Elephas maximus indicus: one gene and its partners. The protein of the gene in region 1 purifies or fractionates together with the protein of each later gene. This does not show direct contact. Links are inferred from orthologs where the notes say so. Each region holds a gene or a part of one and is shown in the gene's direction. Other genes may lie near its edges.

The links.
Region 2: the proteins of KPNA2 (region 1) and CHD8 purify together in Homo sapiens (affinity purification with mass spectrometry; 4 studies listed by BioGRID and IntAct, with this or other methods). This does not show direct contact. The link is inferred for Elephas maximus indicus from reciprocal best matches to the Homo sapiens genes KPNA2 and CHD8.
Region 3: the proteins of KPNA2 (region 1) and PHF10 purify together in Homo sapiens (co-immunoprecipitation; 3 studies listed by BioGRID and IntAct, with this or other methods). This does not show direct contact. The link is inferred for Elephas maximus indicus from reciprocal best matches to the Homo sapiens genes KPNA2 and PHF10.

What each region holds. Positions count from the first base shown.
Region 1 is NC_064837.1:55,934,616-55,942,356, reverse strand, and holds the start of KPNA2 (importin subunit alpha-1), read left to right. Parts: upstream 1-4,487; 5' UTR 4,488-4,601; intron 4,602-5,969; 5' UTR 5,970-5,992; coding exon 5,993-6,067; intron 6,068-6,214; coding exon 6,215-6,352; intron 6,353-7,741.
Region 2 is NC_064828.1:31,812,874-31,820,352, reverse strand, and holds the start of CHD8 (chromodomain-helicase-DNA-binding protein 8), read left to right. Parts: upstream 1-4,410; 5' UTR 4,411-4,472; exon of another isoform or gene 4,473-4,517; intron 4,518-7,479. UniProt on the Homo sapiens protein: ATP-dependent chromatin-remodeling factor, it slides nucleosomes along DNA; nucleosome sliding requires ATP. Acts as a transcription repressor by remodeling chromatin structure and recruiting histone H1 to target genes.
Region 3 is NC_064819.1:242,847,768-242,855,571, reverse strand, and holds the start of PHF10 (PHD finger protein 10), read left to right. Parts: upstream 1-4,735; 5' UTR 4,736-4,758; coding exon 4,759-4,845; intron 4,846-7,804. UniProt on the Homo sapiens protein: Involved in transcription activity regulation by chromatin remodeling. Belongs to the neural progenitors-specific chromatin remodeling complex (npBAF complex) and is required for the proliferation of neural progenitors.

The sequences.
Region 1 (7,741 bases):
AAAAAAAAAGACCAGGCAAACAAAGTTTTAGGACCTTCCCAGGGCCTGGGAAGGGGGCTGTGTGAAGGACAGACCCTCAAGCTTGTGCTTCATTGGCAAATCTACTCTAACCAGAACTGACAGAAAGAACAAAACATATCAGATAACCACTATATTTATTAAGGAACATTTAGGTTCCAGCTTTTTGGTGCACTATACAATATGGCAATGAACATACCTTTGCATATACTTTGTTGTATGTATGCCAGTATAGTATAAGGTAGTTTCCTAGAAATGAGATTACTTGTTATACAATATATACATGTTTAAAATTTTTTTAATAATTTTTATTTTGCTTTAAGTGAAAGTTTACAAATCAAGTCAGTCTCACACAGAAACCCATGTACACCTTGCTACACACTCCCAATTACTCTCCCCCTAATGAGACAACCCACTCTCTTCCACTCTCTTTTTGTGTCCATTTCGCCAGCTTCTAACCCCCTCTACCCTCTCATCTCCCTCCAGGCAGGAGATGCCAACCTAGTCTCAAGTGTCCACCTGATCCAAGAAGCTCACTCCTCACTAGCATCCCTCTCCAACCCATTGTCCAGTCCAATCCCTGTCTGAAGAGTTGGCTTCAGGAATGGTTCCTGTCCTGGGGCAACAGAAGGTCTGGGGGCCATGACCACCAGCGTCCGTCCAGTCTCAGACCATTAAGTCTGGTCTTATGAGAATTTGGGGTCTGCATCCCACTGCTCTCCTGCTCCCTCAGGGGTTCTCTGTTGTGTTCCCTGTCAGGGCAGTCATCGGTTGTAGCCAGGCACCATCTAGTTCTTCTGGTCTCAGGATGATGTAGTTTCTGGTTCATGTGGCCCTTTCTGTCTCTTGGGCTCGTAATCACCTTGTGTCCTTGGTGTTCTTCATTCTCCTTTGATCTAGTACCTTTTTTATATTGGTAGATCTGCCAGAAATGTTCTATTTTGCATTCCCACCAACAGCATATGAAAAGCTATCTATTTCTTCAAATCCCTACTCCCGTCGCGTTGCTGCCAAATCCCTACTACACTAAATGTTATTGGCCACCAAAATGACAAAAACAGTATCTCATTTTTAAAAACTGCTTTTCTTAGTGAAATCTGATATTTTCATTTATTTATAAGTCACTTATATTTCTTCTTCTGTAACCATGCCCATTTTTCTATTGGCATTTTTCTATAAAGTTGTTGGTCATTTTCTTATTGATTAGAAAATTATCTGGTTATTGATTATATGATTATCTGGTTATAAAATATGGATAGAAGCTCTTTTTTGTGTATGTAAGGAGCCATATGTCTTACCAAGCATGCGATCTGCCCAATCTATTGGTGTACGACTTGGCTTAATCTCTTTTATTAAACCTGCACGTACCTACTGTCTGCTAGATAACTTATTCAAGCCCCTGGCTTCAGAGAGCATTTATGCCATCCCAAATTTAAATTTCCTGACAGCATCTTTTGAGACTGAGGCCTGTATAGTCAAGTTTCTACTCAAGCATTCACTCATCTACAAATATTTATTGTGCAACTTCATGTGCTAGACACTGTTAAGGGTGTTGACAATTCAGTAGTGAACAAAATAGATAAAAACCCTTGTCCTCATGGAGCTTACACTATAGTGCTAGTGTAGGTTAAGAATCCTAGTGTCAGTTAAGAATCTTTTGGATGCAAGTGACACAGCACTCAAATTGGCTCAGCACAAAGGGGAATTTATCAAATGATGTAACCAGAGAGCCCCTGGGCAGAACCAGCTTCAGGCTTGGAATGATTCAGGCAATATTGCCACGATCCACCTCTTGGATTTGCACCTCTGGCTCCTGTCATCCCAGCACACTTCCGGTGGAAGAAAAAGGACTTCTCTCTCTTGGCAGCCTTAGTATAAGTGTTGTTGCACCATGCCACATCTTCATCCCTAACCAATCCCTGTGTCTGGGAAATGGGACGTGCTGATTGGCTTAGGACAGACAGGCTCCTTTTCTGAATCTGGAGCTGCAGGCAGCACATCCAAACTTCAGTGGCTGGGGAGGGGGGAGACTCATGGTTCCCTGAGGCAACATTGTATCTTTCAAAGGCATCCTTCACTTTTTTTTTTTTAATTTTTATTGAGCTTCAAGTGAATGTTTACAAATCAAGTCAGTCCGTCACATATAAGTTTATATACACCTTACTCCATACTCCCACTTGCCCTCCCCCTAATGAGTCAGCCCTTCCAGTCTCTCCTTTTGTGACACTTTTGCCAGCTTCCAACCCTCTCTACCCTCCCGTCCCCCCTCCAGGCAGGAGATGCCAACACAGTCCCAAGTGTCCACCTGCATCCTTCACTTTCGATGTGTATCTGCTTTCAGGTGCAAGTATGGAAGTGGTTGAGAGCATGGGTCCTGGAAGCAGACTTCCTGGGTCTGAGTCTTGTCTCTGTCATTTACTGGCTGTGTGACCCTGGATAAGATTCTTAACCGCTAGTGATTTAGTCTTATGTGAAACGTTACAGACAACCTTGCAGAGTTGTGGATATGAAATGTGTTCATGTGTATAAACATGTCGAACACCTCCAGGCACATAAAACGATTATTTTCAAGCAACAGAAAACCCAATTTAACTAGCTTAAACAATAATGAAAATGTATCCGATCAAATTATTGCAAAGTCATTTAATTGCAGCCTTCAGAGGTAGGGCAGGCTTTTGATCAGAGCTCTGGTTTGGCATCTCTACAGTTTTCTTATTCAGATTTCTAGGGCTCACATCCTCTGCTCAGAACAGAGCAAGCTTTCCAACCTTCAGCCATCAAACAAAAGGCATAGGCTTCCCAACAGGGGGAACTTAGGTCACGTGCACACAACTGAACCTTTGCAGCAGCCAAGAGAATGCTCTGCAGTCATTGGTTTAGGCATGAATTCCTTCCATGTTCTTGAACCTAGGGGGTGGGGGTTATGCTGATTGGGTAGTTTGTGAGTAGGAACAATCCCTGTGGGTACTGCAAAATGAATGAGACTGGCATGGATGCAAGAATGGACAAAGTTCACAGTTTGAATTTATTTGTAGTGAAAAAGAAAATATAAATTTTCTAAAATTAACTTTTTTTAGAATACAGAAAAATTGCAGAGAGAAAACAAAAATGGCCCACAATACCATCGTTGAATTTTTTTTTTTTAAAGTACACGGCAAGAAAACGCAAACATTTATACGGAAATGTATAAAATACAACATAGAACGTTACTGGAACAATTGGCAACACTAACGCTGGAAAATGGACTGTATATTTAAAAAGTAGCATCAAAATCAATTTCCTGAACTTGAATGCAGTGTGGTTATATAGGAGAATGTTATTCTTAGGAGACACACGCTGAAGTATTTAAGGGTAAAAACCTAAAACAAAACCCGTTGCCGTCGAGTTGATTTCCTCGAATGGTGCAAAAAATAATATGTAAAAATCATACATATACATACACATAGTGTGTATATGTATACTAATATATATAACTGCATGACTATAACAGATAAACAGCAAAAGTAGCAAAATGTTAACATTTGGTAAGATGGGTAAAAATTTGCAATTATGTATTTTAAGTTATTTAAAAATAAATGGTTTGAGAATGCGTGTGTGGAGAAACAAGCATAATCTTTTTTATTTGTGGCTTCTTACACAGTCTTTTGGAGCCCTGGTGGCGCAGTGGTTAAGAGCTACAGCTGTTAATCAAAAGGTCTGCAGTTCCAATCCACTAAAAGCTCCTTGGAAACCCTATGGGGCAGTTCTCTTCTGTCCTTTAGGGTCGCTATGCTTCGGAATCGACTGGACGGCAAGGGGGTTTTATGGAGGGGGAGGTGAGGAAGATCTGCGTTGCATTTTTTAGTTTTAAAAAAATTATTACATCATAAAAGTCTATTAAAAAACCGTTGTCGTCGAGTGAATTCCGACGCATAGCGACCCTATAGCCCCGTAGGGTTTCCGAGGAGAGCTGATGGATTCCAACTGCAGTCTTTTTGGTTAGTAGACAAGCTCTTAACCACTGTATCACCAGGCCTCCAATCCCGCCCCCCACCCCCGGTTCCTTTCTGTGTCGTATCTGGGAAAAACAAGTCATAGCAATGTTTTTACATAAAGATGTTTTTCAAAAATGACTTTCAGAATAATTTGAGGTACTTGGCCAAAACAGCCCCCCAGAACACCAACAGCGACTGCACCTACAGGGATGCCTTTCGGAAGCCGAGAGCGGCCCGAGCCTCCGGACACGCTGGGTTGGGAGCCGCCCCTTCGCGCGGCCTGCCGGGATCTGGAGTCCTCCCACTCTGGACCGCAACTGCAAGGCGTTCTGGGATCGCCAGGCCGCTCTCGTCTCGCGATGTTATCTCCCATTCCCCTAAGCTCTATGACCCCCCCCCAAACGTGTTTTTCAAATCCACCAATGGATGCATAGCTTAGGCTCGAACCAGCCAATCGGAATGCGGAGCCACCGGGAAATTTAAATCGCGCCGGCCGGCTGCACGAGCCACACCGTCTCTGGTCTGAGCCGTGTTGGACGACTGTGGAGCAGTCGGCCCGCAGCGTGTGAGCTCCCCGCACCGCCTTCTGTGGAAGCCTAAGGCCGCTCCGTAAGTACGAACTCAGGCCGCAGCCCGACCGCAGCGATAACGGCTGGCCCGCAGGGCGCGCTCTGTTTGGAGGAGGCGGGAGGCGGCCTCAGGGATACGCTGGGGCTGGCTTCGGCCTTCCTCGTTGACAAGGCCTCTGGGGCGTCGTTTGTTGTCGAAGCGGCTTCGTTTCGCGATGCGGGAGCTGGAGCTTTAGGGCTCCGAGGTTCGGCTAACGGCAGCGAAAGCCTTTGTGCGTCGCGGCCAGGAGAGGCAGAATGAGACAGGCCTGAGGGCCAGTGTCGCGGACAGGTCCTGCCTCTCCTCCGCCCTCGCCCGCAGCGTCTTCCCCGGGATGGGGGCCAGGGGCTGGGGCGGGAGGTGGCAGTTGGAGGACCTGTATCTAAAAAAGCAGGCCAAGAGTCGGCAGATTGTCAATCATGTCGTAGACGAAAATAACGGGATTAAAGATAGCAAGCTGTAAGGAGGGTTTTTACTTTTGTCGTCTTTTGGAGATTGCTCCTTAGTATCTGAGCCTGAATGAGGCAGAGCTGATGGCAGCCTAATTCAGTGCGTTCGAACGCGAAATTCTGGAAATTAAAATGCTTGCGAGATGCTTAGGGTGCAGGACTGCGTCGCAGGTTTTCATTGTTGACAGGAAATGATACGGCAGACTCCATAACTTAATGATGAGTCAGATTTTAATTTTCAAATGTGGAAAATGCACTCTTTTTTATGGCCATTTGAAACCAATGAAAGTAGGAAGACTCCTGGAGAGAGCCTCCAGTTGATCTGAATTTATTGCCAGGTGGACGTGGGTCTTAACTGCAAGTTAATTCGGTTCCCCCACTTTGTCTTCACTTAGCTGTTTTGGACCCGCGAGAGTCTAGAGCTGCGATGTCCAGTATGGTTGTTGCCAGCTGCATGTGGCTATTGAACTCTTGAGATGTGCGTAGTCAGAATTGGGGTGTGCTGTAAACATAAATTACACCGTGGATTTCAAAGACTATGTAAAAGAATTAAAAATGTCTCATTTTTTACTATTGGTAACATGTTTAAGTGATGTTTTGGCTTAAATAAGATTAATCTGTTTATCATCGCCTTTTTATAATACAGCTACTAGGAAATTTAAAATTCTGTGGTTTGCTTTGTATTTCTGATGGACAACACTGGTTAAACTCTTAGCTCTTGTCCGCGGGCGGGCGGGCGGGCGGGGGGGGGGGGGGGGTGCGGTTATTGTTTGGCCAAAACGATCTTGTAATGCTGAAAACGTGAAATTCCTTCTCCAGTATAGAAGTGTGGATTCAATATATGCTTGGAAATTTTATTATTGCAAAGGCAAAATGATAAAAGGGAGTTTCTTTTTCTCTCCTCCACCCCCCAATCTAGCTTTCTTCCTTTGTTTCACAACCATGTCCACCAATGAGAATGCTAATTCACCAGCTGCCCGGCTTAACAGATTCAAGAACAAGGGGAAAGACAGTACAGTGAGTACCTTCTGTTGCTTTCTTATGATACTTTTTAATGGGAAGATGTTTGGCAAGGGATCAAAAACTTGAGGGAATTAAAAACGCCCTCACTTGATAATGAAAATTATTAATAAGGTGAAACAATGTTTCTTTTCTTTACTCAAGGAAATGAGGCGGCGCCGAATAGAAGTTAATGTAGAGCTGAGGAAAGCTAAGAAGGATGACCAGATGCTGAAAAGGAGAAATGTCAGCTCTTTTCCTGATGATGCTACTTCTCCACTGCAGGAAAACCGCAACAACCAGGTAAATGTATTTTAGTTCATGAATTATAATAAATCCAGAAGATTAATATGGGTTTTTCTTAGAAACTTAACATTAGTAGCAAATCTGTGAAGATCTTTTTTCTGTAATTAAGGTAATGGAAGGTTACCGAAGTTTTCTTCTCTCCTGCCCACACCCATAATCCAGTGGAGCTGATTTCCAGATCGTTAGCTTCAGGTTTTCCTACGCTTCTAGCTGCTAGCTGGGTCCCTTGACCTGATAATTCCAGTGTTAACTGAAAGTGTGTCTGGAACCACCCACTTTCTGGCTTATTGTTGTTGAATCAGTTCCCACCCATAGCGACCCCATGTGACAGGGTAGAACTGTCCTACAGGGTTTTTGTGGCTATTATCTTTACTGGAGCAGATTGCCAGGCCGTTCTCCTTTGGAACCACTGGATGGATTTGAAGCAACAACCTTTTGGTTAGCAACCAAGCGCTCAACCATTTGTGCCACCAGGGCTTCTGGCTTATTACTGTCACCAGCTTTGTTCAGGCCTTTTTTCCCCTGAAATAGTTATAGTAGCCTCCTAATTTAGCTTCCCCTTTTCATTCCATGCCACATACTAGTGCTGTACTTTTTTCCCTAAAATGCTGATGTAAACATGATCTCTCTCTACTCAAAACCTTGGATAGTTTAAATTCCATACTCCTTCATTTAGCATTGAAGACTTCATTTGAGTTTTCAAATTTATCATGTTCATCTTTTCTTCCAAGACAGTTAACACTTTCCCACCTCTTGGCCTTTTTCACATTGTGCTTTTCTTAGCACTCCACATTTATCGTTTTTTTTTTTTTTTTTTCTTTCATTGAATTATCTATGTGGTATGCTAGTTCTAGAGTACTACACTCCTGTCTTCTCCTCATGGCACTTTCTGGTCAGTCCAACAGGGAAGACTCTCCCTCCTTAGAATTCCTGTAACACTCCGATCCTGCACCAAGGTTAAAGAGTTATCTTTTTTTTTTAATGGTTGTTTCTCTACTTGCCACATTTACTTTGTTTTTAAGCTTCTAGGAAGAAAAGGTCACTGTCTTTTTGAGTTAATCATCACTTTGCTTCTCAACCTTTATACTATGAATCACAATATATGGCGTTTGTATTTGCAGCAGTGTACCATGGAAATTCTGAGATTATAAGCTTAGATAGGAAAATTCCTAGCATGTTGTCTGTAATTCATCCCTTTCTTTGCTGAGAAAACATCTGAATGCAAGTGATTGCAATTTATGTTGAAATAACCTTCGGTCTGCTGTAATTTTTCTTAATTGTTCACCACCTTTTTTAGTGATGAATTGCTTAGACACCTCATAATTTGAAACTCAGTGAGTTATGAGTTTGAAAATTGTCATACATATAATGAATATGTGGTTAGCA
Region 2 (7,479 bases), on another chromosome or scaffold:
TTGGTAAAGGGTGTCAAGATTGGACCCCAGCAGCCTCATTCGGCATCAGTGGGACCCTGCGCCTCTCAGCAGAACGCTCTAGCATGAGAATACAACTCTGACTATTTCTAAACATCTGGCCTAAACTCTTTTTTTCTTCCTGGAACAGCTTCAGATCAACAGGCTTAAAGGAAGAGGTCTTGCTTGCTTTGGCTGAGAGAATACTCTCTGTAAGGTGTGATGTTTTGCCTTTTCCCTTAAGGACCAGAGAAGGATTTGGGCCCTTAAAACTGACCTATAATTCTTCAGGGATGTAAGCATTCCCTATAGCTTAGGGCTTTTCTCGTCCCCCTATTTTAATTTCTAAAACGTTAAGATCAAAGCTGATAGTCACTGTAGTCCACAAATAAATTATTTTATAAGCATACCCATTCTGCTCCCCAACAAGAATTAGTAACAAGGGTCAAGGATGTTCTGCTTCATCGCTTGAGAATACTGGGATTTAGTGAGCTGTGGGTGTTAGATCCCCTGCCTAGAAATTTCATTGATTTTTTAACTTACTTGCCTTTGGGGGTCCAATTGCCACTTCCTGAGGGATCTTCCAGAAGGCAGTTCCTTCTACCTGAACTGCTGAAAGATGCTCAGTACTTTTCTAGACCATCCCATTTCTAGTTTCTGTCCCTTAGAGTGACTAAAAAACTTTTGAGAGCAGTGAGATGGTCCTGGACCTATGACCACTTATCATTAACTAAAAAAAATATTCTTTCACTGCTTGTTTTGTTTCAGGGACCAGACCTAACATCGTAGTGTCTTTCACCAAACAGACTGCTACTATTGCATCATACTCACTTCTTACTAGACAATTTAAACCTCCTAATCCAACCGAACTAATCTGCTTACTGGACATGATATATTTACTCCCACTTCCATGCCCTGGCTCGCACCCTACTTTCTGCTAAAATTATACCCAAAGTCTAAAACTTTTTCCTTCAGGAAGACTTCTGTGACTGACTTAGGGACTTCTAAGCAATTATTGACATGGTATCCCTTTTAGGCTCCACCTTTCTTATACTGTTTATATTTATTTGTATTAATGTTGTTTTACAAATATGTTTTACAGTTGTTTTATGTATAGGATCTGTCTCCCCATGTAGTTCGTAAGCTCCTGTCATTCCTTCAATTTTGTAAAATCTCCACGCCCACCACCATTCCTTCACAGAGCCCACTGCTACATTCATTACATGATCATTGAATTTGACTGACTGACTTAAAGAGTTAGAACAGGTTTATTTTAGACTTCAGAGTAAACAAAAGGCCTTAGAGTCATCCCTTTGATAACTTTGTTTCAATCTCTTCTATCTGCTTACCCTAGGTCCCATATTGCTCTTTTCCTTCTCTCTTCCACTCTTCCTAGGACCTCTGCCTCCATTCCATGCAGCATACAGTAAGGCTGCCTGTTTTCAAGCTGTCAGCATAAGTGGATACTTACCAACCATTCTCCTTTTCAAAAGCATATAATACTATCCTAGCAAAATTTGCTTTTGCTTCATTCCGCACAAGGCCTTCTAGGTCACTTGCTATATCTTCTTGCCTTGATTTCCCACTCTGTTCCACAACACTGAGGTCTCATGAATTTTTCTAACATTTTTGTTGTTGATCAATTGTATCATTACTGTGTGTATGCATGTATCCAAGCTGCTCATATGTACATGTCATTTCTTATTGTATCCCAAACATAAGTAAATAATCTCCTCCTAAGGAATTTTATCAAAGTTATTGATAAAGCTTCCTTCTAACTCCCATATTCAGTTTTATTATCCAAGCCAACTTATAACCTCTGTACTTGGGCATTTCACCAATTGTAAGGGAAACACGAGAAACAGAAGCAATTTCACAGCCTGTGCTGATCATTGCTGATGTTAAGTGAAGTGACATTGAAGAAATATCGTAGAAGGTGGATCTCCCACCCCATGTGAAGAATGGTAATTATGAGATAATCTGAGTATTGATTTTTGAAGGCCAGCACCATTGGAAATCAAACTAACCCCCCCAAAACCAAACCCACTGCCATTGAGTCCCTTCTGACTCATAGCGACCCCATAGGGCTTCCAAGGCTGTAAATCTCTATGGAAGCAGACTGCCACATCTTGATCCCGCAAGTGACTGGTGATTTCAAATTGTTGACCTTTCAGTTAGCAGTCAATCACTTTAACCATTGAGCCACCAGGAGATCATACCAGTTACAGGAAAAGATCATTGCAAGTAGCTGAAATTATTGGACCAGGCACATTCCCTATCTATAATACCTGTAACTAGTTCTCTGATGATGGGTCCATTTTGTACCAAATAACATTAGAAGGATAATAGACTCTCATTCTAGAGACTACTAATAAATAAGATCATATCTATATATTCATTGCAAACACATTGCTATGGTAAATCCTAACACCAAACTCAAATTTGGTATAACGACAGCAGTAGCCAGGGGAGAATTTGGCCAACAAACTTTGTTCAATATACAGGAGAACTTATTTGGTCAACTCTTATCACCTCTCTGATAAAAGATTGAGTCATATGACTCTAAGGTTTCTAAGCTCCTACCACGGATGACCATGAGACTGTGTTATTCTTTGAGAGAATTCTTTTAGTGACCTGGAGGGACTCCTTTTGCTCACCAAAAAAAAAAAAAAATCAAACCCATTGCCATGGAGTGATTTCGACTCATAGCGACCCTATAGGATAGAGTAGTAGAACTGCCCCATAGAACTTCCAAGGAGCGCCTGGTGGATTTGAGCTGCCGGCCTCTCGATAGCAGCCATAGCACTTAACTGCTGTACCACCAGGGTTTCCCCTTCACTTACAGGCTTAAAAAAAATAAATAAATAAAGACTTTTTGTAGTGAGTTGTAATAAGATTTAGACTGAGAAATACTGGAAAACCAGTGTCACTCAGTGCAAGAAAATTTCACTAACAATGAAATCATTTCCTCTCCGATTTAAAAGCAGCCAGTAGAAAATTACTTCCTCCAGCCAGTGCTTCTATGGCCGGGCTGCCCCCTATGGTTACTCCATACTTTGGACTCAGAATGGAGGTTAGGGCTTTAGTTTTTTTTTCCCCCCTTCTCCTTTAAGGCTTCTAGTGCAAGAAAATTTCACTAACAATGAAATCATTTCCTCTCTGATTTAAAAGCGGCCAGTAGAAAATTACCTCCTCCAGCCAATGCTTCTATGGCCGGGCTGCCCCCTATGGTTACTCCATACTTTGGACTCAGAATGGAGGTTAGGGCTTTAGGTCCCCCCCACTTCTCCTTACACATAGTTTCCCGTTTAAGGCTTCTAGTGCAAGAAAATTTCACTAACAATGAAATCATTTCCTCTCCGATTTAAGAGCTAAAAAAAACTACCGCCGTCGAGTCGATAGCAGCCAGTAGAAAATTACTTCCTCCAACCAATGTTTCTACGGCTGAGCTGCCCCCTAAAGGACCGTCTTGTCCCTACACAGAGTTTTTCGTGTAAGGCTTCTGTCTTTTCCATTGTATGCATGCACAAGTAGTTGTGGTTCATTGATGAATTTGAGGCCATTTTTCTTTTTTTTTTTTAATTGAAAATTTTTCCAGCTCTTTATTTCCAACTGATTCACAACCCTCTGTGCTGTCAAAGTCCGAACACTGGAACTGTCAAGTCAGAACACTGGAAATTTTGCAAGAGCAGCATAAGATTTAGAAGCATCTAGAATAGTTTTTTTTTTTTTTAGAATAGATACATAACCTATGTTGGTTATGTGCTGATGCTCTGAGGAGTGAGGTGTCTATAAAGGATTATTCCAGGAACTGGGAGCACCCAGTCTCATCTGAAGAATTGGTTTTTGCTTTCAATGGTAAAATTGCTTCACTTGTGCAGTTAAGTGGGAGGGTGATACGGTTGCTTCTAACCATATTCGGCATTACAGAGTCTCTCCCCTATAATGATTGAGGTTACATCCTGATTATATAAAGGTGAGAATGTTGGGGCTGGTCCCGAGTAGTCGGGTAAAACGTGGAAAATGACTTCATATTGCTCAAACACTCCTTCCCTCTCCCCGCCCCCAAGGCACCAGCCTGAGCCAAGATGGCTTCCTAGACACAGGTAACTAAATGTTTTAGTTTAGAGCGCCCCCAACGGCCGGGGTCTAAAAAAAAAAAAAAAAAAGATGCCGAAAGGCCTGAGCGCCTGTGAACTGAGCCATCAGAGACGAGCTGCCGCCAGATTTTTATTTTCAATCAGGCATATCTGTGGTTGCCTACGTACCCTTCCCAGCCTTTTAGGACCTCCCACTCACAGGAGACTTCCTGGATGGCGCTCACACTACCATGCTGGAAGAGGCCGGGCTTCAGCCTTGCCATTGGTGGGTGGGAGGGCAGGTGGGCGGAGCCGAGGGAGAATGGACTACTAGCAAGCTCGGTTGAGACGAGAGCTGGCCATGCTCCGCCGGAAAGCGCCTTGTTCTCCGAAAGGGTGAGTTGAAACGGGGCTGGAAAAGAAGCACCAGGACTTGTTCAGGTAGGCTTCCCGCTCACATGGACTTCTCAGTGCTGCTCCACGAGTCCTAGCAAAAGCTAAAGCTCTTAGAATTAATTTCATTAACTCATTATCCTCCTTCCGCTCCCGCCCCCCGCCTGTCCCCCACTTGTGAGGAATCAGGTGTTGGGTGATGCTCTGGACTGAACCATTCTTCTTTGTGAGAGGCCAGGGGAAGAGGGTGCCTGCGGGCCCGCGGGGCCCGAGTCCGGCCAACCCGTGAGGGGCCTGCCCGGGCCGCTGTTGCTTTTTTAAGGCTTGTCATTGCATTACTGGGCGTGGTATAGATTTGAGGCAGCTCCTTGTTCTCCTTTCTCCTTCAGGGGAGGGTAAACTCCCCGACTCTGTTTGGTTACTCCATACTTTGGACTCAGAAGTGGGAGGTTAGGTTTCTTTTTCTCCCCCCCCGCCCCTTTTTTTTAAATAATAGAGGTGAGTAAGAAAGCATAGGGTGAGCGTGCGCAGGTTGCTGTACATTCTTAGGTACAATTTCTGTGGGTCTTCTGGGAGAAAAGGGCAAGCTGTTGGAGTGTGTTTAGACATGGTGGGAAGAGAGGAGCGCAAGCCTTGCATCTCCTTTGACACATATGCAGAGTTCAGTGGGTTTATGGTGCATTATGTAAACTCTCCCCAGGCAGAAGACCCCTCTTCTTGCCTCGGGGCAAATGCAGTTTCTTTATTTACCTGTGTGTAGTGTCGCAGGGAATTTCTCCGCCCAGTGCAGCGGCTGTGCAAATGCAGCAGCCTCTGCCTTTTTTGGAGCAGGCCTGAAGTGATTAAGGTCTTCGAAGAAGACGTACACACACACGTATATTTAGTGATCCAGTCTCATTTCAGTGATTGGGCACGGTGAGCCAGCCAGTAGTCAAAGACTTGGAATTCAATGTCTTTTTTTAAAGAGCAGATATAGGGGAGCACACCAAGTACACAGCCAGAGGCGTTGCATGATCAGTGTCTGCTGCAGGCCTTCATCACACCAGCATGGGCGGATCGTTTAATCTCCTTGTTGCTCTGAGCCTGTGAACTCAGTCAGAGACTCACTGACTGTTTGGGTTATCCTTAGCAGCAACTGAGGTCCTATCTGGTGCAAGGCACTTTAGATACTAGAAGGTGAGTTTGTGATTTGGGTAATGTCCTCTGCTAGTTGTTTAGATGATGACTTCTACTTATGCATTTCTTCTGCCTTGGTCACCAGCTAGATTTCAGAATAAATTGCAGTCAGCCTCGAAGGGCCTGAGTATGGGAAGCTCCCCATTCCTAATATTTTGGAATGATCCCACCCCTTGAGAGGGGAAAAAGTTATGATAAGAAAAACGATAGTTGCCATTTAAGAAGATCTATGTTGCAAGAGTGGCATGTCATGATGAAGAACAGTGGCCAAAAAGAGATAGGCACAGGCTTGGAGGAAGGTTTAAAACTGAAATAGCAAAGGAGTAATGGATTGGGATAAGGCATTTGATGGAGCAATATATGGGTACTTGTACAGTTCACACCTTCTCCATGCTTTAATCTAACCTGTGCATATGGCCTTTGGTTTTATCACTTCTCAAATTAACAAAATCCATTTAAATACTAGATAGAAAATGAATCTGCCGAGCTGATCGTGACTTACCAGGAAACACAGATCTTGTGTTTCCCAGGGCAGCCTTCTCTGCAGCATTGCTGGGTGATGGGGTGGAGAAATCTTGGCATTATCGTAACCACCACTGCAGAGCTTTAGTTGAAATAGGAAAAAATTGACATTTTATGTGAAGGGTTGAATTTCTGAGAGGTAATGTAGGATGGTGAGGGGGAGCATTCTTTAAAATAAGCCACTGTACACATCTCCCACCATTTAATATTAATTTGAGAGTCCCAAGAACTGTGCTTGTTTGAAAGAATGAGGTTTGATATTCTCATCTGCAAGAGGATTGTAACATTTTCAGAGGTGAACGCTAAGTGCTTTGGAGATACTGTTTGTCCACAGGCCTGGAAGAGTTACGCTATCTTCTAACCTTACATTGAGCCTAATTAATACTTAGGGGATTAACAGAAGACACATTTTTCTGGACCCTCAACCTCCACCTCTAGAAGTCATTTCACTTGTGGACTTGCATTTGAGTAAGATTTGAGTAAGTCCTTAATCTGCAGGTCACTGCTGTAACTGACCTAGTATTTACTATTTTACCTTTAACATTTGATTCATTGACAGACTATCATGTTTCATATCTTACTCAGTTTAATTTCTTATATTTCCTCTTTAATTTTTTATTCTTTTTCCCCACAAAGTTGGTGGTCCTCCTTTCACTCTACTGTTAAATGTTCCTGTTCACTTTGCTTTTTGTGTTAATTCACTGACATTGCACTTCTTTGCCTCTGTTTTGCTGAGGCCTTTCAGAGAATGTAAAGAGACCCTAATTTCCAAGATGTTTTTCTTTGATACCGAGTATTTGCATTTCTATATGAGCAAGCTGTTCTATGAGCCACTTTCTTTTGCTTAAAAGCTTACTTACCATTAACTGAACACTAAGTTTTTTCCTGAATAACCTTTTTTCTCTCTTAACCTCTAACTTTTGTTTTGTGTGCTATAATTTAATTCTTTTTTTGTGTTTTCTAACTATTTCGTATTGCCTTTAAACTTTCCATTATATTTTTATTGACAAAATAAGTTTACCTCTTTGTAGTTATGGAGTATTTTAGATTTAAATTACAAAGTATGTTAGTCCCTGAGATTTCTCATTAGATTGTTTTGTAAGTAACTTACTTCTTTAGTCCTTTTATTGCCCATTACTTTCTGTCCTTCGCTATAGGCTCTTGGTTAATGCCTGATGAAACAAAATGGTCAACTTTAAAAGATCTTAGTTCTTGTTTTCAGATTACATCAGGAGACTTTAAAAAATAACACAATTTCTACCCATTAATGTATGTTACATAAAACCAAAAATACCCATTGCCATCGAGTTGA
Region 3 (7,804 bases), on another chromosome or scaffold:
CACCACCCTGTTAAATATCCAGGGCCACAACTTCTGAATTGCACGCCTACCGACTTTAAGGAACCATAACTAATCACAATAAATGTCACCTGAGTGTTCACTTTAATTACTGTCCTCCAATCTGACTCCCTGCTTCTCAGATTTTTACGGTGGTTTCTGGAACTTTCTTTTACATGGGTCCACAAAGTCCCCTGTATTCCCAACCCTCCTCCAGATGTATTTTGAGGCTCTTTCCTTATAAACAAGCTGACTCGCCATAAGGAAGAGGTCCACTGCAGCCCTCTGAGATGAGAGCTGTATTTTCTTTCTCTCCCTAATGCTGTAGAGTCTTTGTTGTTAAAACTCTCTAGCTCCTTGGCATTTATGGCCTGTGGATACATAATCCTTTGCCTCCATTTGCTGCAATTGCCTGTAGTCCCCTGGCTTATTCCTTCTCATTACTTGAAGACTTGTGTTACTGGATCACAATCTTCTTTACCCAACTCCTGCCACCATTCTTAGTGACTTAAGTATCCACATAGAAGACCCATTTAATAAGGCAGTACTTGCTTTTCAGTGTTCTGATATGCATAAATTTTAGTTACCATCATTTAGCTAAATAACACTAGTCCCCCAACAACATGGCCCAAATCTCAGTTGCCATGGTGTATTAACTGTGAGAAACTGCATAAGGTAAACTTCACAGCTGGCTCTTTGATCCACAGATCACATATGGAGATAACAGATGTGTGTCATGCTCCTCTTTTGAAGTCCGTCAGGTTGGTCGCTGCGTGTCTGCACTCAGGGCTTCAGTTTGCACAAACAGTAGAGTGTGTAGTTATGCTGCCTCCTCATCTCCCAGTGATATACCCACTTGATGTTTTATTAAAAATGGGTAATCCAAAGGGGGAACTGGCCAAAAAGGTCAAAATGTACAGCAAAGAAACAAAAAGTGATAAAGTTGGAAGGGAAATTTGGATGTGATTAGGAGATTTCAAAATGAGGACAGCAAAGCAAAGACAGGATGAGATCTAGGCCTGTGTGAAGGTAATGTAGGAACATCGGGAAAAAGTGCAGTGAATATAAAAAACAAGGTAACGTTGCTTCGGTATTTTTTAGCTTAATTGCACTAGGAACAGAAAGCTGTTCACAATTGAAATGGAGACTTTCTTCTACCTTGGCTTGAAGACTGCATTAATAATAATAATAATAAATACCAGACAGTTTGATTAGCACTCAGGACAAAGTGTGGAAATCAGTTGTCCCACTGAAAGAAAACAGTAATTATAAAGAGACTGAACCTTTTACTGCCAGTGAAGGCCGGTCTTGTTTCAGAAGTCAGCATGATTGATTCATGTCAGGCTATCTGGTAAGCTGCTAGCGCAGGTGATGACACTGCAGGCGTCTGCACCCAGAGCTCGCAGGAGAGTCATGACAAAAGGGGACCATATCCACATGGAGCAACTCCACATTGAGGAAACTCTGGGAGGCATTCACGACATTGAAAATACAAATGAGAACTTGTTGGAAGCTGACCCAAACTTAGAAAAGAGTATGACAATTTATCAAGGTATAGGAAAGATAAGTTATAGAATGAGAAGGCAAGCAAGGTTCACATTACTCTTTTTTTTTTAAACAAAGAACTCTCAATGTTTTTGCTGTTTTAAATTACAAACATACTAAATAAATACTAGCTTTACAACTTTTTTCATTTCCCTATACATTTAAAAGAAGTCCCTGGGTAGCACAGATGGTTTGTACTCGACTGCTAACCTACAGGCTGGTGGTTCAAACCCATCATGCAGCGCCTTGAAAGGCCTGGTGATCTACTTCTGAAAAATTAGCCATTGGAAACTCTATGGTGCACGGTTGTACTCTGATTCACATGGGTCTCCACAATTCACTGACAGCAACTAGCTAAAATAATAGGTCACTCAGAATTGCCTCCTTAGTGCTCTTCCCTGTCTTGCACATTGGTAGTCTGAGTATTTGTTGAAATGAAATGTTTTATATTCGTATTTGGTCTAGAGACAGAATAGCTAAGAAGAGTAGGGCAAAATAACTGAATAATTTAACATTAAGCTCTTTGCACGGAAATCTGACCGAGTCCCCTGAACAGTGAAGAGAATTTTGGGGCGAGGTGGGGCCGGATGGAGTGGGTGGAAGGCTGCATCTGCGACCTTCACTCTCAGCTTCTTGCCTGGACTTCAGGCCGTTTTCCACCGTGGGCTCCTGGAATAGGGCGGGGAGCAGGTCTGACTGAGGTTGTGGGAGAAAGCGAAGTCTGAATTAGGAGAAGTTCCGGAGCCTGAAGTTGTTGGTGATGCCGTCTCTGATTTGATGCAAGTGAGAAGGCCCGGGAAGGGTGGGCTGGGAGGGTAAATGAGGGTGGTTTGTATTAACGTGATGGACAAAAAATCATTCATGTCTCTCAAGACTTTTGGCTGCTGCGTGTAGGCAAAAATATGAATGAGAGAGAAGCCATGTTGTACTTTAAATCCAGTTGCCCGGACTAACGTCTCATCTACACTCTGACAGTCAAGCGCCTGCTGAGAGGTCAGCTTTGACTCATTTCTGGCAGTTCCGGAGACAGTCACAGTTGTCTCCCACGTGTTAAGGTTGAGTCCCCAACATTCTGCTTTTCTAGAGAAGTCCTGGAAGTGCCTCGTGAGGCCGGAGGACTAGGGGTGGTAATAGATTCAGTCCGCAACGGAGAGCCGCCGTTTACTCTCAACGGGCTTGCGCAGTGCGCTTTGCAGTGACCCTGACGAGCCACCCGTGAGAGCCGGGCGCGCGGAGCCAGGGCCGGGCAGCGCTGAGGGCGTGTGTGCTCGCGCCCGCCGCTCCCGGACGCCGCCCCCGCTCCCGCCGCTCCCGGACGCCGCGTGCGCACGCCGAGCCTGGGTGGGCGCGCGCTGGGCCGCACGCGGGAGCGCCTCAGCCGCCGGCCGCCAGGGCTGCTCCCGGGTCTGCGTGAAGCGGGCGGCGAGAACAAAGACGGCGCGGGAGGCGGCTGCGGGCCGGTCGCGAGGAGAGGCGGGGCAGCGCTAGGACCGGGGACTGCGGGGCCGGGGCCTGAGGGCACCGTGGGACCGGTGACGGCTCGTTCCCGGGTCCGAGCACTGACGGGAGCGGCGCGGCTCCGCGGGCGCTGACGGGCGGACAATAGGGAGAGAGTAACGTGGGGAGGGGTCGGTCCCGCGGGCTGCGGTGGCGCGGAGAGGGGGCAACCGGCTGAGGAGAGAGGCGGGCCGGAAGTGCGCCGGGACGCAGAGCAGCGGCAAGAGGGGGCGGGGCCTAGGAGCGCGCCCGCCTTGAGGGGTGCGGGAAGCGCAGCGCCGGGTCCGGCTGAGGGTGCGGAACTGGGGGCGGGGCTAGGTGGAGGGGCGGGGCCTCGGGGGTGGTCCGTGAGGGGAAGGTCCCGGCCGCGAGGGGGCCGGGCTGAGGGGAGGGTCCAGGTTGAGATGCCCGGCCGTGAGGGGAGGGTCTGGGACGGGCGGTGGGGCGGAGCCGTGGGGGGGATACGTGAGGGGGCTCGGCTGAGGGGATAGTGCGGGCTGAGGGGAGGGTCCGTGAGGGAAGGTCCGGGCCGAGGGGAGGGTCCGTGATTGGAAGGTTCCGGCGGCGAGGAGGACGGGCTGAGGGCAGGCTCCGTGACGGGGGGGTCCGGGCTGAGGGGACGGTGCGGGCCGAGGGGGTGTGGGCTGAGGGGAGGGTTCGTGAGGGGAGGGCTCGGGCGACGAGGAGGGCAGGCTGAGGGGAGGCTCCGTGACGGCGGGGTCCGGGCTGAGGGGAGGGTGCGGGCCGAGGGGAGGGTCCGGCCTGAGGGGACGGCCCGGGCCGCGAGGGGGCCGGGCCGAGGGGAGGGTCCGGGCTGACGGGAGGGTCTGTGAGGGGAGGGCCCGGGCCGTGAGGGGGCCGGGCCGAGGGGTGGGTCCGGGCTGACCGGAGGGTCCGGGCTGAGGGGAGGGTCTGTGAGGGGAGGGTCTGTGAGGGGAGGGTCTGTGAGGGGAGGGCCCGGGCCGCGAGGGGACCGGGCCGAGGGGTGGGTCTGGGCCGACCGGAGGGTTCGGGCTGAGGGGAGGATCTGTGAGGGGAGGGCCCGGGCCGTGAGGGGGCCGGGCCGAGGGGTGGGTCCGGGCTGATCGGAGGGTCCGGGCTGAGGGGGGGGTCTGTGAGGGGAGGGTCTGTGAGGGGAGGGCCTGGGCCGCGAGGGGGCCGGGCCGAGGGGTGGGTCTGGGCCGACCGGAGGGTCTGGGCTGAGGGGAGGGTGCGGGCCGAGGGGAGGGTCTGTGAGGGGAGGGTCCGGGCCGAGGGGAGGGTCTGGGCTGAGGGGAGGGTCCGGGCTGAGGGGAGGGTCCGGGCTGCCAGGAGCTTCCGGGCCGAGGGAGGGCCTGCGTCTGGCGGGCGGGGCGGGGCTCGGCGGCCGCGTTGCCGGCAGGGCGGTGGGAGGGGAGGGTGACGTGAGGAGGGGGCCGAGAGCGTCCGCCATCGCTCGCCGGCTCCGCGTCGCCTCCTGCTTCTCCGGCCCTCTCGGCGGCGGCACTCGGCGCGGCGCTGGCGGCGGCCATGGCGGTGGCGGCGGCCATGGCGGCGGCGGGCCGCGGGGCGCGCGGCGGCAGGGGCCGGCCCCCGGGCGGCGGGCGGGCGGGGGTGGCCGAGGGGGCGGGGCCCGGGGCGCGGCGGGCTCTCCGCGCGGCGGCGGCAGCGGCGGCGGCGGCAGCTGCCGGGACCAGGCGGCGGCGGCGGCGACGGCGGCGGCGCGGGGCGCTCGGGCTGATGGCGGCGGCGGCCGGCCCCGGGTCGGCGCTGTCCCCGCGCCTGTGCGACGGCGACCCGTCCGCCCCCGGAGCGCAGTCCCCAAAGGTGAGGAGGCGGCGGGAGGCGGGCGGCGGGCGGGTCCCGCGGCGGCCGGGCGGAGCTGTGGGCGCCGCCAGCCCGAGGCCGCGGCCGGTCCGAGGGGAGCCGCGGCCGGTCCGAGGGGCGCCGCCGCCGGGAGTTTCCGGAGAAGTTCTGTTCCTCCGCGCCCTCACGGCGCCCCGGCCCCGGACGTGCTCGGCTGCCCGGCGGCGGTTCACCCTGGCGCCTTCCCTGAAAACGGGGCGGTCCGGGAGTCAGGCCCCGGCGGCGGGCTCCGTGGGCGGCAGGTTCGCGCGTGGTTTCCTCTTTTCAAGGAGCGCGAAACGGCGAGACGCGGACGGGGGAATTGGAAGCCTTTTCCCAAAACTTTGCGGCCATTTCCGTATCTGAGACTGTAAGCTCAGTTCCTGAAAAGCTTACTCAGACTTTATTAGAGAAGCGTTGTGCTTCCAGGTAGAAACGAAACTCTTCATAAATAAAAGTCTATTTCGTATTAGTGTGGGATAGTGTGATGTTCTCAAAACATCATTCTGTGAATTTTTTCCGAGATACTTGACCCCTTATTAAAACGAGGGTTGTAAACAGCCCTGGAAACAGGACGTTTCTTTAGTGAACTTAGTAGAATGGCTCAACTAGCACGGCCGGGACGCTGGCGCCGACGGAGACACCTTGTGGTCGCACAAGGCTGTCCTGTGCCGGCCGTCTTCCTGCTCCTTGTCCTCTGGGGGACCTGGTGTTTCAGGTGTCCCGGCCAGTGAACCTAAGTAGACCAGGTGTCTGTCCGCACACCACTGTCGTCCTTGCAGCATCTCATGCAAGGCTGGCATGTGCTGGGCTCGGCCAGGATCCAGCCTGCAGGACGGGGTACCTTATCGAAGGTTGGAGCCACCTGTAACCACGAAACGTAAATGTCTGTTTGGGACGTTTGGGAGTTTTTGAAAACATAGGTCAAGGTTTCCAGTAAACTCTTAGGACTTAATTCTATTCCATAGTATGTTGGGGAAGACATTGCTGGCATTGTCTTGAAAAAGGTGAGCTAACCGAATTCTTACATAATAATCCATTTGCCTAGGATAGCAAATTGCAAACTCTTTATATATGGAGTTGTGGTTTCAGCTTTTTGAGGACTTATTTTAACTTTTATTATTGAGTATCTCAATTTTTTAGCTAAAGAGAAATATTTTTAAGCAGATTGACTTAAAAATCCTTAAAATGTTTACAAGCAAGTCAAAAAATAAGGATACTTTGACTGTTGAACTCTAGAGGTATTGAATATGAAATGTTGCAGTTGTAATACTACTTAATTGTAGTTGATTAGTAGTTTTTTTTAGTAGTTATTTCAATGTAAAATTTCTGAGAGTAGCTTTAGACTATTCTCCAGGTCCTACCTGGCTGATGGTCTTAATAAGAATATACAGATCTCTTTAGTTGAATGCTTACTTTATAAGGACTGAAAAACAGTATTTTGTACATTTTACTGAGTGGGGAAGGATGTGAGTAAATTCCTAACAGCTGGAGACGTTTGAGATATTTGAATAATTACCATTATAATCATAATATTAACTAACATTTATTGAACATTTAAGCTGAGGCTAAGGGAGCTCAGCTGCTGACCAAAAGATCAACAGTTCGAATTCACCAACCACTCCTTTAAAACCCTATAGGGCAGTTCTACTCTGTCCTATAAGGTCCCTGTGAGTCAGAATCGACTTGATGGCAGTGGGTTTGGTTCATTATTTCCTAGGCATTGCTCTATGTGCTTTCCATGCGTTAACTCATTTAATCCTTGCGTTAACCACATGAAATGGGCACTGTTACCATCTTGACTTTACAGATAAGGAGAGGCCCCTAAAGGATGAGCACGCAAGCTCTACAGAGGGGCAGCATCCGGTGATTCCATGCGTGATCACTACCCCATACTGCATCTTTGTTTTCCTTTGTAGGGTTCCTTTCATTTTAGTATGTAGCAAGAGGCCTGTGGTATGTTAACAAAATTGTATTAGTATTAGAAAGTTACAGTAATTTGATTTTTAAAAAATCTGTGTTTTTAGATCTTGTTAAGTGCCTTCTAGCTGGCTCTGACTCATAGTGGCCTTGTGTACAACAGAACGAAACACTGCCTGGTTCTGTGCCATCCTCACAATCATTGTTATGCTTGAGGCCATTGTTACAGCCACAGTGTCAATCCATCTCCTTGAAAGTCTTCCCCTTTTTTATTGACAGTCTACTTTTCCAAGCATGATGTCCTTCTCCAGGGACTGATCTCTTCTGAATAACTTGTCCAAAGTATGTGAGACGAAGTCTTGCCATCCTTGCTTCCAAGAAGCATTCTGGCGGTACTTCTTCCAAGATAGGTTTGTTTGTTCTTTTGGCAGTTCATGGTATATTCAATATTCTTTGCCAACACTATGATTCAAAGGCATCAATTCCTCTTTGGTCTTCCTTATTTGTTATCCAGCTTTCACGTGCATATGAGGCGATTGGAAACACCATGGCTTACCCCTTGACTAGTATGTGAATAAATCAATTTCCTAATGTCTAATTCCTCATTTCATTTCCTTAATGGAAATGTTGAACTTAAACAGTTAAAAACCAGTTACCCTGGAGTTGGTTGCCACTCATCGTGACTCCATGCGTGCCAGAAGAGAACTGTGCCCCACAGGGTTTTCAGTGACTGATTTTTTGGAAGTAAATCACCAGGCCTTTCTTCTGAGGCAGCTCTGGGTGAATTCAAATCTCCAGCCTTTCAGTTATCAGCAGAACAGGTTAACTGTTTACACCACCTTTGATATTCTTGTCACATAAAGGATTGCATTAAAAGTTTTTAAATCTCTCCTTTTTGGGGGATGTGAGTATGGCTGTACAGATTGATGACTTTTTAGGGTATATTTTTGCTAAATTTTTGAATGTAAAAAAAATATTTCACAGGATTGGTAATCCGATTTTAGTCTTAGTATGTACCCTT